Arabidopsis thaliana: one gene and its partners. The protein of the gene in region 2 interacts with the protein of the main gene of each other region in a pairwise test. Each region holds a gene or a part of one and is shown on either strand. Other genes may lie near its edges.

Evidence for each region. The genes of interacting proteins can lie anywhere in the genome.
Region 1: the proteins of RABA1e (region 2) and AT1G21790 interact in a two-hybrid assay, tested with the Arabidopsis thaliana proteins (one large-scale study listed by BioGRID).
Region 3: the proteins of RABA1e (region 2) and AT4G33905 interact in a two-hybrid assay, tested with the Arabidopsis thaliana proteins (one large-scale study listed by BioGRID).

Annotation. Positions count from the first base shown.
Region 1 is NC_003070.9:7,652,468-7,656,492, reverse strand, and holds AT1G21790 (TRAM, LAG1 and CLN8 (TLC) lipid-sensing domain containing protein), read right to left. Parts: upstream 2,406-4,025; 5' UTR 2,137-2,405; coding exon 1,878-2,136; intron 1,601-1,877; coding exon 1,323-1,600; intron 1,132-1,322; coding exon 802-1,131; 3' UTR 512-801; downstream 1-511. Other genes in the region: AT1G21780 (BTB/POZ domain-containing protein), read right to left, coding at 2,627-3,232, 3,324-3,439, 3,680-3,825, 3,905-4,017.
Region 2 is NC_003075.7:10,183,170-10,187,012, forward strand, and holds RABA1e (RAB GTPase homolog A1E), read right to left. Parts: upstream 2,215-3,843; 5' UTR 2,055-2,214; coding exon 1,834-2,054; intron 1,167-1,833; coding exon 734-1,166; 3' UTR 502-733; downstream 1-501. Other genes in the region: AT4G18440 (L-Aspartase-like family protein), read right to left, coding at 3,216-3,434, 3,523-3,591, 3,657-3,758, 3,840-3,843. UniProt on the Arabidopsis thaliana protein: Intracellular vesicle trafficking and protein transport.
Region 3 is NC_003075.7:16,253,241-16,257,510, forward strand, and holds AT4G33905 (Peroxisomal membrane 22 kDa (Mpv17/PMP22) family protein), read right to left. Parts: upstream 2,521-4,270; 5' UTR 2,353-2,520; coding exon 2,011-2,352; intron 1,685-2,010; coding exon 1,456-1,684; intron 1,191-1,455; coding exon 1,066-1,190; intron 915-1,065; coding exon 825-914; 3' UTR 512-824; downstream 1-511. Other genes in the region: AT4G33910 (2-oxoglutarate (2OG) and Fe(II)-dependent oxygenase superfamily protein), read right to left, coding at 3,703-3,789, 3,893-4,012, 4,099-4,164, 4,234-4,270.

The sequences.
Region 1 (4,025 bases), on a different chromosome or scaffold from region 2:
CTTGTTAGTAGCAAAAAGATCACCCTTGTTTCTTTTGCTACATAGTGTAATCTTCTTAACGTTTATGTCTTGTGAGATTCATCTTTGTTATTTCACTGTCACCAGTTTGATGGTCTCATATGATGCATTGTCACCAAGTAAAATATTGATTTTTGTTTTGTTTGGTTAGATAAAGACAAAGAAAACTGCAATCTGTGGTGCTGCTGAACTGCTGATGTTGAATCTATTCATTGGTCGTGTCTAAAATACAATATTTTGGATTAGATTCTAAACTGGTACATGCAACAGAACAAGCACCTGAGGTTCTATGGTGTAGTGGTTAGCACTCTGGACTTTGAATCCAGCGACCTGGGTTCGACTCCCGGTAGGACCTCTCATGCTCTTGCATTTTTTTTTCTTCCAAACATTGGTGGAAACTGAACCGGACCAAACTTCATCAACTCAACACTAAACAAACTTTCCTAATAGATTGAAAAGATTATACCAAAATTTAACTGAATAAACCAAAGTTCATTAAGATTAACTTTTATATAATGATTATGATATATAAATCACAACCAAAGATCAAACCAAAATTCTAATTTGGTTCCGTTTCCCCAAACACAAGAAGAAAAAAAGTCTGTTGACTGTAATCATCAAGAAATAACATTTACATGTAGTTTTCCTATAGAGAGATACATACAAATCTGAAAGCTATTAGAACTTAGTAGCAAAGCCTCAGATATAAACAAGAGATGAGTGGGTAGTATTCATACAACAACAAACCATAGATTCGGTAATGGATTGCCTCTAAATTAGCTATTATTCTCCATGGTCGTGAAGGTTGCCGTTCTCTTGGTTTCTTCTGTGGCTTCTCTCTCTTCTGAAAGCATGAAACAGATCCAACCCGAGGCCAACATTAAGAATGTTCATTCCTGCCATACCAGACAGAGCGAGTGGTAACTCCACGCCTTTCCCAAACTTGTGTGCGTCTTTGATCAGCTTGATAGTGATGAGAATGTGAGGAATGCATCTCGCAAACACAAAGGCTGTCCAGTTTAATACCCACTCCAGTTTCACCAATGCTGTGTTGCTGTCTCGGATTCCTGCCATTCTCCTTAGCTTCCTCACGTGTAGAAAGATCGAATGCATCTGTTTACACATCCGAATAACAGAGGTGTCACTTTTGTTCGAACAAGTAGATGTTGTAGAGTTGAGTCTATATCTAACTAGATTGTTATATATGAAACTAGTCTAGTTTAACTAGAGAATGTTAGCATAGATTCGGTAAAGAACAGAGAAAAGCCAGGGCAAGTTTTCAGGAAGAAAAAAGTGGAACGTACCTCACAGATGAGAGTAAGAATAAGGTAGTTGATGGTTACATTTCGGTATAGTGCCAATGTGAAGCAAACAAGGAGGACTAGATGGTGAACAAGAATAGAAGGTATTAAGCCGCTGTATAACCGGTACTGAAGCATATCCCACTGGTCATATGCAAAGTAGCCGCATGAGAAACACAAAGCTGGATATGCCCATTTCCAAGTCCCACCAACCAACTCAGAATGATCAAACATCTCGTCTAAACCTTTGGCTAAGCATTGATTGAGAAGTATGAAAACCACTGTAGTAACACAAGAGCAGTGTTGAAGATGAAAAATCATAATCAGTAAGGCTTAACGAAGAAAGAACTGCATTATACTCAAGCTATGGCAATCAATCATAAGACTAATCCAATCGGAAATAAGAATCACATTAAGCAATGAAACCGTGAAAACACAGCACCAAAGGAAAATTGACTAATACCAACGACCAATGTGCACACCTATGATAAAATTTCCCCACTAACAGAGCACAATCCTATAGTAAGAACTCAAATATAAGAGAAGAGAGAAAGGGACCTGATGCGGAGGTGATGATTGAGTGCAAAAGCGAGACAGAGGTATTAACAAATATAGGGTCACGAGAAATCCATGAACGAACAACCCAATTCATCAATTGAAAGAAGCATCCACCGCAAATCACCCAGAGAAGCTCCGTCCGGAGATTGAAAGCAATCTCAAACACGACGGAGACAAGCCAAAGAAGCAGCGTCGCTAAGAAAAACTGCCCAGCCCCATTCTTCTTCCCTCCTGAACTCCCAATCCCGTTCCTCGCCATCGAAACCTCACTGTCTCTCTCGGAGATTGCTTGAGAATCCGGCAAAGTTAACCCTAAATTGGATTCTTAGCTCAAACTTCGATATCCATTTCCAATTTTGGCGGAAGAGACGATACAAATGCCTTCACGTTATAAGCTTTACTTTGGGACGCAACGGACACGTGTCGGTCGATACTTCATCCTCCTGATGCTGACTCATCTAATTAAAACAAAAAACGTACGATTTCAACATCGACAAAATTATCATATTTTGTGCCGACATTCGATGTCGACAGTCATTAGGCCTAGTCACAGCCCATTTGAAAGGCTCGGCCCATTTGAGAGGCTCGGTACACCAAACTAGAGGCAAATCCACTCAATACTATACATTAGACAGAGTGATACAACAAAATCCAGAGTTGTTGTTAGTTACACACACAGAAGAGAACAAGAAGACTATAAACAAAACACCATCAAGCTGAAATGTTCAAAGTATGTGTGTAAGTGTATATTAGACCGGTTTCCACACAGACAAAACCTCTTGAAACATCTCCAGCATCAGTTCTCGATCAGCTTGCCTGAAGAAACTGCTGATTTCTTCTCTGACATCATAAATCTTTCCGAAATCAAACAAATACATCAAACACCCTTTCTTCAGTTTCTCCAGCTGATAAAGCCAAGCTTCTTGTAGCCTCTCGAGCACATTACTCGAGTTTATATCTTCCATTAGGCTCTCCTCGCAGGCTGCTTTCAAATCCGTTATGTCGTACTTGTTTGCAGCGCCGAGGAGGGCGAGCCTGTGTTTCCAGAACTCTTCTTGGGTTATGTTTCCGTAGAGGTAACTTAGTAGAGCCATGCAAGATTCTCTCGACATGTCGTCTATGTGGATTGTGGATGATTCCTTTTCCATGAGGTCGTGGTGGAACATGCTTTTGAAAACAGTTGAGCTAGCTGAGAGGATAGCTTTGTGAGCAGAGAGTGTTCCATCGGCTGTGTGGATGATTACATCGGTTAGTATGCTTTCCTCTAGCATCCGGGATAAGCATTTGAGAGTGGTTTGAGTAGAGATTGATTGCATTGTTGCATCGGTTGGCCAAACAGGAGAAGCTTCACCACCCTGGATTATGATTTGATTTGATCAACCATGGAAGTACAAATGTTACAAAGAGAAGAAATTGTGAGAGTATAAATAGAATCATTAAGCTTACATTCACAGGGCAGATTTTGAGATCAAGAAACTCAACATCAATGGTGAATCGACCGTGGAAACTGGAGTCAACATGCCACACACAATCATCAGTTGTACGCAGCAGCTTCTCATAAACTGCACCAAATAAACAGAGTATCTCAGCTTAAACAAACCTAATTCAGTTGTAACCATCCCATAAGGTACTACTAATCATCAGCCAATCATTAACATCTAAATTAATATCTTTCAGATTCCACATAATTGAATATAGTTCCCACATAAAAGGTAATTCCCTTTCCTGAAATACCTAATTCGAGCTCGACAATAGAATTCAAATTCCAAATCCAGAAAAGTCAATTCAAAGACAAGACATACCAGGAGAGATGTAGAATCTACGATTGGGGCCAACGTTGGAGACACGAAGAACAAATTTGGCAACAGGAGGTTGCTCTTTAGATACTCGAGAAAGTTCTGGGAATAGCCTCACTGATAGATAGCGATTCCTCTCTATAGACAGATGCCTTCATCATATCCCAAAACAAACAAAAATCAAAATTCCGAAGAAAATTTACCAAAATAAACCAAAAATGAAAAGCTTACCAATTCCAAATTCCGACTTTGAAAGGATCGGACTTTTTGAAAGAACAAGGACCAAAATTTTCAATTCTCCATTGAGCTAACCTCGAGATTGTCTCTACCTTCGTGTCCCCCATCCACTTTC
Region 2 (3,843 bases):
TACGAAACAATAAACATCCTTAGACTTGGAAGGAAAGGTGTTCTCATAATTTGGACGGTGGACCTAACTTGCTTCCGTGTGGAATAAGTTATACATATCTTCCTCTTCTTCTCTTTGGTTTTTGGTAAATTATTTCAATTATTTCTAAAGTTTGGTAAGTTAATTTTTTTTTTGTTACGTTTAATTTCCTTTTTATATATATTGATGCGATATGTTTACTAATAGATATTTTAAACATGTACCTGCGCTGGTTCGAACTCAAAAACCCTAAGAAAAAAACTAGCCGATGCTATTTAGTTGTATAGAAAAGCTATTTTCTTGGACGCTAATAATCTTTCGATTAGATACGATAAAATGTTCATATCATAATTCACATTACTAATAAGTTTATCAGATTCTCGCTTTGTTAGCACCAGACTTTTGGTATCGATTCAAGTCGGCTACTCATGTCCTAAAGAGAAATCATAACTAAATCTTACACCAAAAGCTAAGATTATGGTTGTTTGATAGTTCCCTTTTTGGGATCATATATGTTTGATCAGTTCGGTATTAGTAAACTATCTTATTAACCGGACCAAGTCTTGTTCAATTCAATACAATTCTTCGGTTTGTATTATAAAACAAACCGGTCTCATAACCTTAAAATGAAGCCCCCAAAAATAGTCCAATACAACAAAACCAAAGCCAAAGCCTTCTTCCAAAAAGACAGTTTACAAAAACAAAAACAATAATCTCAACCTGAGCAACAACCAGAAGATTTAACAGCAGTAACATCATCCTTATTTCCGATATCAATGGTTTGTCCTTTAGGTAAAGACATCGGATCTCCAGTACCATCAAGAGCTTTACGGCTCATTACACGATAGATTTGAGTCAAGACATGAGTGAAAGCTTGTTCGACATTTGTAGCATCCAAAGCAGAAGTCTCCATGAAAAACATGTTTTCTCTTTCAGAGAATGATCTAGCTTCTTCTGTGGGAACTGCACGAAGGTGACGAAGATCGGCTTTGTTTCCAACAAGCATGATTACAACGTTGGCATCGGTATGGTCACGAAGCTCCTTGAGCCATCTTTCAACGTTTTCGAACGTTATGTGTCGAGTTATGTCGTATACTAGAAGTGCCCCCACTGCTCCTCTGTAGTATGCACTCGTGATTGCTCTGTATCTGTATAACAAATAAGTCGCTATTACTCAAAAACAGAGCATATAGAGAAGAAAGAGAGCATAGGAGTGGGAGATCGGTTTACGGTTGGTTAGTTTCGGCTATTGATTATATCGGTTAATAGAAATTAAAACCAAATAAAATAATTTGTAATCTGGTTTATTTTCCAATTTGTTCTTGATTTGAATTAAGTTATATTTGGTTCCTTTTAGCAAAAAAAACTTTTTACCAAGAAAGTTATATTTGGTTAATCTATAGAAATTGATTATTAAAATAAAATCATTATCTAGTCAAATATTATATCAGTGCAATATACTTATTCCAATTTTCCATACATATACATAATTAAAAGTATATTATATTTATAAAAAAAATCGAAATTGATAATTGAAATAAATCATGATCTAGTTAATATTATATTAATGTAACATAACTATTTCAATTTAATTTCCATAGAGATACATAATCAAAAGTAGAGGATTTCTAAAAAAATGCGGTTTATTTGGTTACACTAAATCAGTTTATATTGGTTTCAAAATAGTAAAACAAACAAATTTGTAAAATTATCCAGTTTGATTTTTGTTCAACCATTTCGGTTTGGTTTGGTTCAAAGAATGAAACAAAACAGAACATATAGAGATAAAACAGTGAAATTTCGAGGATTTATTACCTTTCTTGACCAGCGGTGTCCCAAAGCTGAGCTTTGATGATTTTTTCGTCGACATGAACACTTCTTGTGGCGAACTCGACACCGATGGTTGACTTTGACTCGATGCTGAATTCGTTTCTGGTGAAGCGAGACAAAAGATTGGATTTTCCGACGCCGGAATCTCCAATCAAGACTAGTTTGAAGAGATAATCGTAGTCGTCGTCGGCTCTGTAGGCTCCCATTATTAAGGTATTTGATAGAAGTTACAAAATCGTAAAGAAGAATTCAGAGAGATGTTGCAATATGATCTAATGAAATGAATGATGTGTTGTTGTGTTTTGTAATGAAATGAAATTATGGGTAGTGGGTAACGACGAAAGGGCTTATTGGTTTTGGTAGTGTTATAAAAATAAGAATAATATTAGGATTCAATCATTTGTTATTATTATATGCATGACTTAGCATATGTATATGTTTTGAAAGTCGTTGGAAAGATTAGAGAACAAACATGTTTGACGAAATCTTCGGGTTTATGGCCGCCATGAACTTGGTAAACGCAGAACAATATACACTTGCAGGAAAAAACAATATTATTATGTCTTCAATTCAATAATTCAATTTATAGCTTTTCTCAAATAAAATCACAGGGAAATTTGTTCATAAATAAAATTATAGCAATGTGTAGGAAGATATCTAGGTAAAAGATTTTTTATGGTATATTGTCATGAAATTTTCCATTTCTATTTTTAACTTCTAAGGATTTTTTTTATATGACACTAAATATAGTGTAGAGTTGAGATTATTGTTGGACACATGTACTAGACTTTTAGTAATAGATCAAGTCTAAAGGAAACTAGTAAGTTTGTTTTTGAGATAGATCTTATATTATTTATTTTAGACCTAAAAGGCTAAAACATTTGTGTTCATGTAAATGTTAGCAATAAATAGAAGAATTACTTAAAGCTCTTAATTGACAAACAACATTTTAACATTATTATTTCTCAGTTTTGTTTCTGTGGACAATTTATTTGACTACTATATGCATATATATTTGCTAGATTTTGATACCTACATAACACTTGGTTATAAAGAAAAACAAAAACCACTCAAATTGAATTTCAACTTGAGAACTCTTTATTATTTGACACCAATGTGTATATGACCTATTTTATTACAATAATTTGTATTGGTTCGAGAATCATTGACCACAGCTTATAGCTCAAGACTTAGATAAAACACAGACACTCAAAGAGGAAACATAACACAACAATGGTACAAGATTTTTCTTAACATTTTAAACGACGACTTGCAAGTCACCGACCTATAAATTGTCTCTGTTTTCCACCAATTTCGAAAAGAATACCATAATAAAAGAGGACAATCTATCACCACTTTGATCATCATCAATGTCCCAAGTGCAGAGCTTCATCCACGGCCAGTGCCAATGCAGCAGCAGCACCAACATATGTGTGTGGAGTTAGCTCCAGAAGTTGGTCTTTTGCTTCTGAAGGCAATTCCAAACCTTTGATAAACGTTCTTATGGTTTCTTCATTCACAGCTTTTCCTCTTGTTAGCTCCTTCAGCTTCTCATACGGCTCAGGGACACCGTATCTCCTCATCACCTTTATTTGATACCATAATACTTCTGTGGATTAGAGATACATCAAATATCTTGATTGATATAGAAGATTAGAAACTCGAGAAATTTACAGTTTGTATTGGTTCAGCAAGGACTTCCCAATTATCATCCAAATCTTCTTTTAACCGAGCTTCATTAACCTATATCAAGAACATTCTTAGTTTGTGACAAGTGGAAACATTTCTTAGGGCTACGGTAATAATACCTGAAGCTTCCCGATTCCCTGTATCGCACTCTTGTAAGCGAGAAGAGAGTGTCCTAAAGCTCCACCCATGTTTCTCAAGACAGTTGAATCAGTTAAATCACGCTGCAGATTGTACATTTTTCAGGCTTAGTTTACTTCCATCACTCTAGCTGAGATACATAGAATATGGAGAAATGTTAAAACCTGC
Region 3 (4,270 bases), 6.1 Mb from region 2:
TTTTGCATAAGCTTCTTTTTGTCTCGACTATTCTTGTCTATATTGTTTATATATAGATTCCTAATCTCATTGGGAGTTTTTCAACGTGTTTGGAAGTATAGTAAGTTTCTAATTTTCTATAACAAAACGTATATTCTCTTCACTTGAAGAATTTACTGATATTCAAAAAAAGAACTAGAAGAATTTACTTTTTTTTTTTATCATTCCTTTTTACTAAATTGTTTTGTTTTGTTCTTTGTGTGCTCTTTCTTCTGGTACAGATATATATGCGGACCTACGTACAAGAAAGGACCCTAAATTTCTAAAATTTTACTTACTGTTATGAGAAAACAATACATTTGGCATATCAATTTTTTTTGTTACAAGCTGTCGCACTGCTACCTGCTACCCTACCAATCTGGGACGCGTATAAGATTGAGAACAAAAACCATATTTTAGCATACATAGCATTTGGTTTGACTCCGTTGGTCTCGTGTAAATTTTCCGTCTTTGTTAACCGTACTGATGTAACTAAGGATTAATATAAAAGACTTGTGTCAACAGTTTCCTTTGCCTGGTAAAGACTCAAAAAGTTGATCGAAGCTAAAGAACCACCATTTTACTCAAATATTACATGGAATACTAAACATAGAATTGAATTAAATCTAAGAGTGTAAGACATGTCCAAATGCACAGTTTTCCCCAAAACTCCTTACATTATATCCTCCTAAAATCTGGAGAGAGGAAACAAAGAATGTTGAAGAATGCCCTGTTTCTTTTAGTAAAAGTGTTTTTTGGCTTCATTTCTTCATTTCTAAACTGAGAGAGTTTCCCAGAGAGCTTTTTCAAATTTCAATGGCGGTTGGCGTCGCACGGCTTGCCATATAAGTTATGTAGATTGTCCATAGATACGAAAACGAGTTGCTCACAAGTGGCTGCAGACAAAAAGAAACCAGACTTCAGTTGATAACCAAAACTCACGATAAGACAAAATGAATGCAGCAAATATATGATCTGTCTTGAACAAAAGGTTAACCAAAGTGAAGCTAAGTTGGAAATAAAGTGGTAGGTATCAATCATACATACCTGTAAATAAACAGGGCAGAACTTGAAAGTAATAAAATCACACAAAGGCCAATACATGACACCATTAAGCATTGTGGGAAGTAGGTCCCTTTTCAATCTAGCAACTATCTCTGAACCATTTTCACCTGAAAAAATAATTGAAAATCAGACTTTGATGTCATCAAGAATAGCTTAGGATCAAATTCTAACAACAATTCTCCTCTCTTCAAACGCCATTTAGAGAAAGAATGTAACATCAAACAACCTGCTCTATAACAACCCTTAAGATTGAAGGTCAACAGGATCTAGAGTTTCAGAAAAATCATACTTTTATATGTTGCTCAAAGAAGAATATATAGACTATAAGAAAGGAACCAGTTGATTATTTTTCATGTACAGCTGAAAGCTTACCCTGTAGGGCTGCATTCAGTGAGAAGAAAACAACATTCATGGCAGGCCCATAGACTGTCTGTCCCATGGCCATTTTCTTAAACGTTGTGATCAAATCTCGTTTTGGGAAGAGACTTGACATGAGATTGAACCAATAGTGAAGTGTAGGACCCAAGATTAATAACCCATATCCTCCCATCCTTGCTGTTCTTACCAAGTCATAAGAATCCACTGAAGCTTGTGGAATTGTCTGTTGAAAGATCAAACAAGTCACACTTTTGTCAACAACAATACAAGAACAAAGAAACGTAAGCAAATATAACAACTCAATTCACATAAAACCCGCTACTACATCCACATTACTAAGAATCGATCATTACTTCTTAATCTAGAAGTAATTCTTGTCCTATCTCAAATCTCTAAAGCACAATGGAGATACAGTGACTTCTACTATTACCATTTGTTAGAAAACACAATGGAATCTTAGGACTGAATCAACAAGAACATAATCACAGAATATCTAAAATCTGATTTGTAGGCTTACAAAACAAAAATGAGATAGATTTTTGAAATTACCTGCGAAGACAAATCGGCTGCTATGTAAATAAGCGAGGACGTGACGGATTTGGTAAGAACCGGCCGAGATTTCACCATTCCCAAATACCATCCGATGAATCCTGCTGTAGAGACCGTCGAAGAAGACGAAGACGAAGACGAACAGAAACCAGAGACACCTGTTTCCTTTGCTTTCCCGAGAAACTGAGGCGTACGATAAAAAGGCCTCGACTGCAATCGCTGGATGTTTCCTCCTATCGGTAAAGGGTCGAGCTTTCCAAAAGGATTCGTCATCGTTGCTCGCTGTAATCGAAAGATCCGAGCGGCGTCGGAAGCAGCGTTTCTAAACAATGCGCCGGTCATTGTCGTGTGATGGCTCCGAGAGTTTTGGGGGTTCAGGGAAGGGTTTTATATATAACGGCGGTGGAGAAGAAGAAACAGAGCTCTGTTTTTTTAAAAAGTTTAAATGCCAATAAATAATGAAACACACAATTTGTATATTTCGCGAGTATAAAGGTTTTTCTACTCGCGTCTCGTACCATTGCAATCGTTCTTCATAAATTAGTTTTGTTCTTAATAAATTAATTAATCATGCCTTTTCTAGATACAGAATTGTCGAGATCTTTCCTAATAACCGAAGTTTTTGTGAAAGCTATAGTGTTACTTAGCACATTGATTATATATAAGCCAACAAATTGATTATTATTTATTATTAGCTAATCACTCAATAAACTCAAAAGCCAAGCCAAATTATTGGAGAAAATAACCTTTCCAATTTCTATGTTAGGCGGAGGAAAGAGTGCCTGAAGGCTGAAGAGCGCGTGACCGTCAAAGGTGGACGGTTCAAAAACCAAACATCCCCAAACTGTTTCTGTTCTGTAGTGTTCTAGGGTTGTTTACACGTCCTGTTCACATTGGTTAGTGTCGACGTCATCACTTCTGACACGTAAAACTTAATTCAGTGACGCTAACCTTTAGTAGAAGCCACGTGTTGCGTTCGTGTCCCAAGTTCCGACTTTTAGCCACTTTTTATGAACTCTTTTATTTTTATATATTTAGTCAAAAAGAACGTAGATCATTGGAAGAGAAGATTCTCTTATTTTCTGTCGGCAATTTTTCGAAGATTCTAAACCAAACTAAACGTAGATGATGTCACACACACAAAAAAAAACAAAAATTATTATCGGTATCACTCATGACTCATGTGTCCACAAAAACTCGAATAAAAAGATGGTCCCTGGTGTGTAAGCTCAGATACATTTTTTATATATATAACATGGACAAAATAATTTTCCATTTAATAGATACAAATACAATCATACAACACATTTTGTTAAGTTATAAGGGAAAAAATTAGTACACATTGCAAATTAACAAGAGACTTGACGGACTCAAACGAGCAGTAAATACTCAATACCAAGTAATCAGAACACCCAAATCGATCCACACTTGTCATCACTTCTGTGTTAATCTTATAAGTTCTTATATTTCTTTTACTGAAATATCAAACAACAAGAAACTTCTATTGTTCAAATGATATTTCGAACCAAGTTTTCATTATCAGGTTTTAATTTTTGTATCATTCGCATTATAAGAAAGCTAAATAGTTACACTGTTTCAGCGAAGAACTGTACACGAGGGATCCAGCAGCAGATTTTTAGTCAAAAGATAGAAGCTGTGAGACTGAGATAGATATATGGAAAAAAACCTAACTTATTCTTCCTGGTCTTGGTCTCTGATCCATTTGGTTGCCACCCATTTCTCTCCTTTGGTCACCGGGCAGCTCCCGTGAAGCGAAGTCTGCAGAAGCATTGGAACCACAGCAAAGAGCTCCTATTAGCATGAACTAATCCAAGGAATAGGAGTCAAGAGAAGAAATGAAATGTGTTCAAACTTTGTTTACCTGATCAATCGTTCCATTTGGAAACACGGAATAAAAAAGAAGACCATCTCCTTTCCGAGGCTTTACTTTCAACCCAATACATTGCTTGTAATCGTATCCGATGCCCATATTAGAACCGTTCTGTTAAATAGAAAGCGTTTAAATGGAATCAAAACTAACGAAAGGGTCTGTATAATAAGTAAGCAAATAATATATTATAAACTGACCTCAAATGGGAACATGGTTTCACCGCCTTCTTCAACATCAGATAAGTACAACAGGAAGGAGGCAATCTGCGTAAATTCAAATGAGGTCTCGGGTTCTAAAGAAAGCTATAAATATGACAGATTTAAGGATTTTACCCTTTGGCTTGATTGTGGTCCATATTCTGTTGGGTTG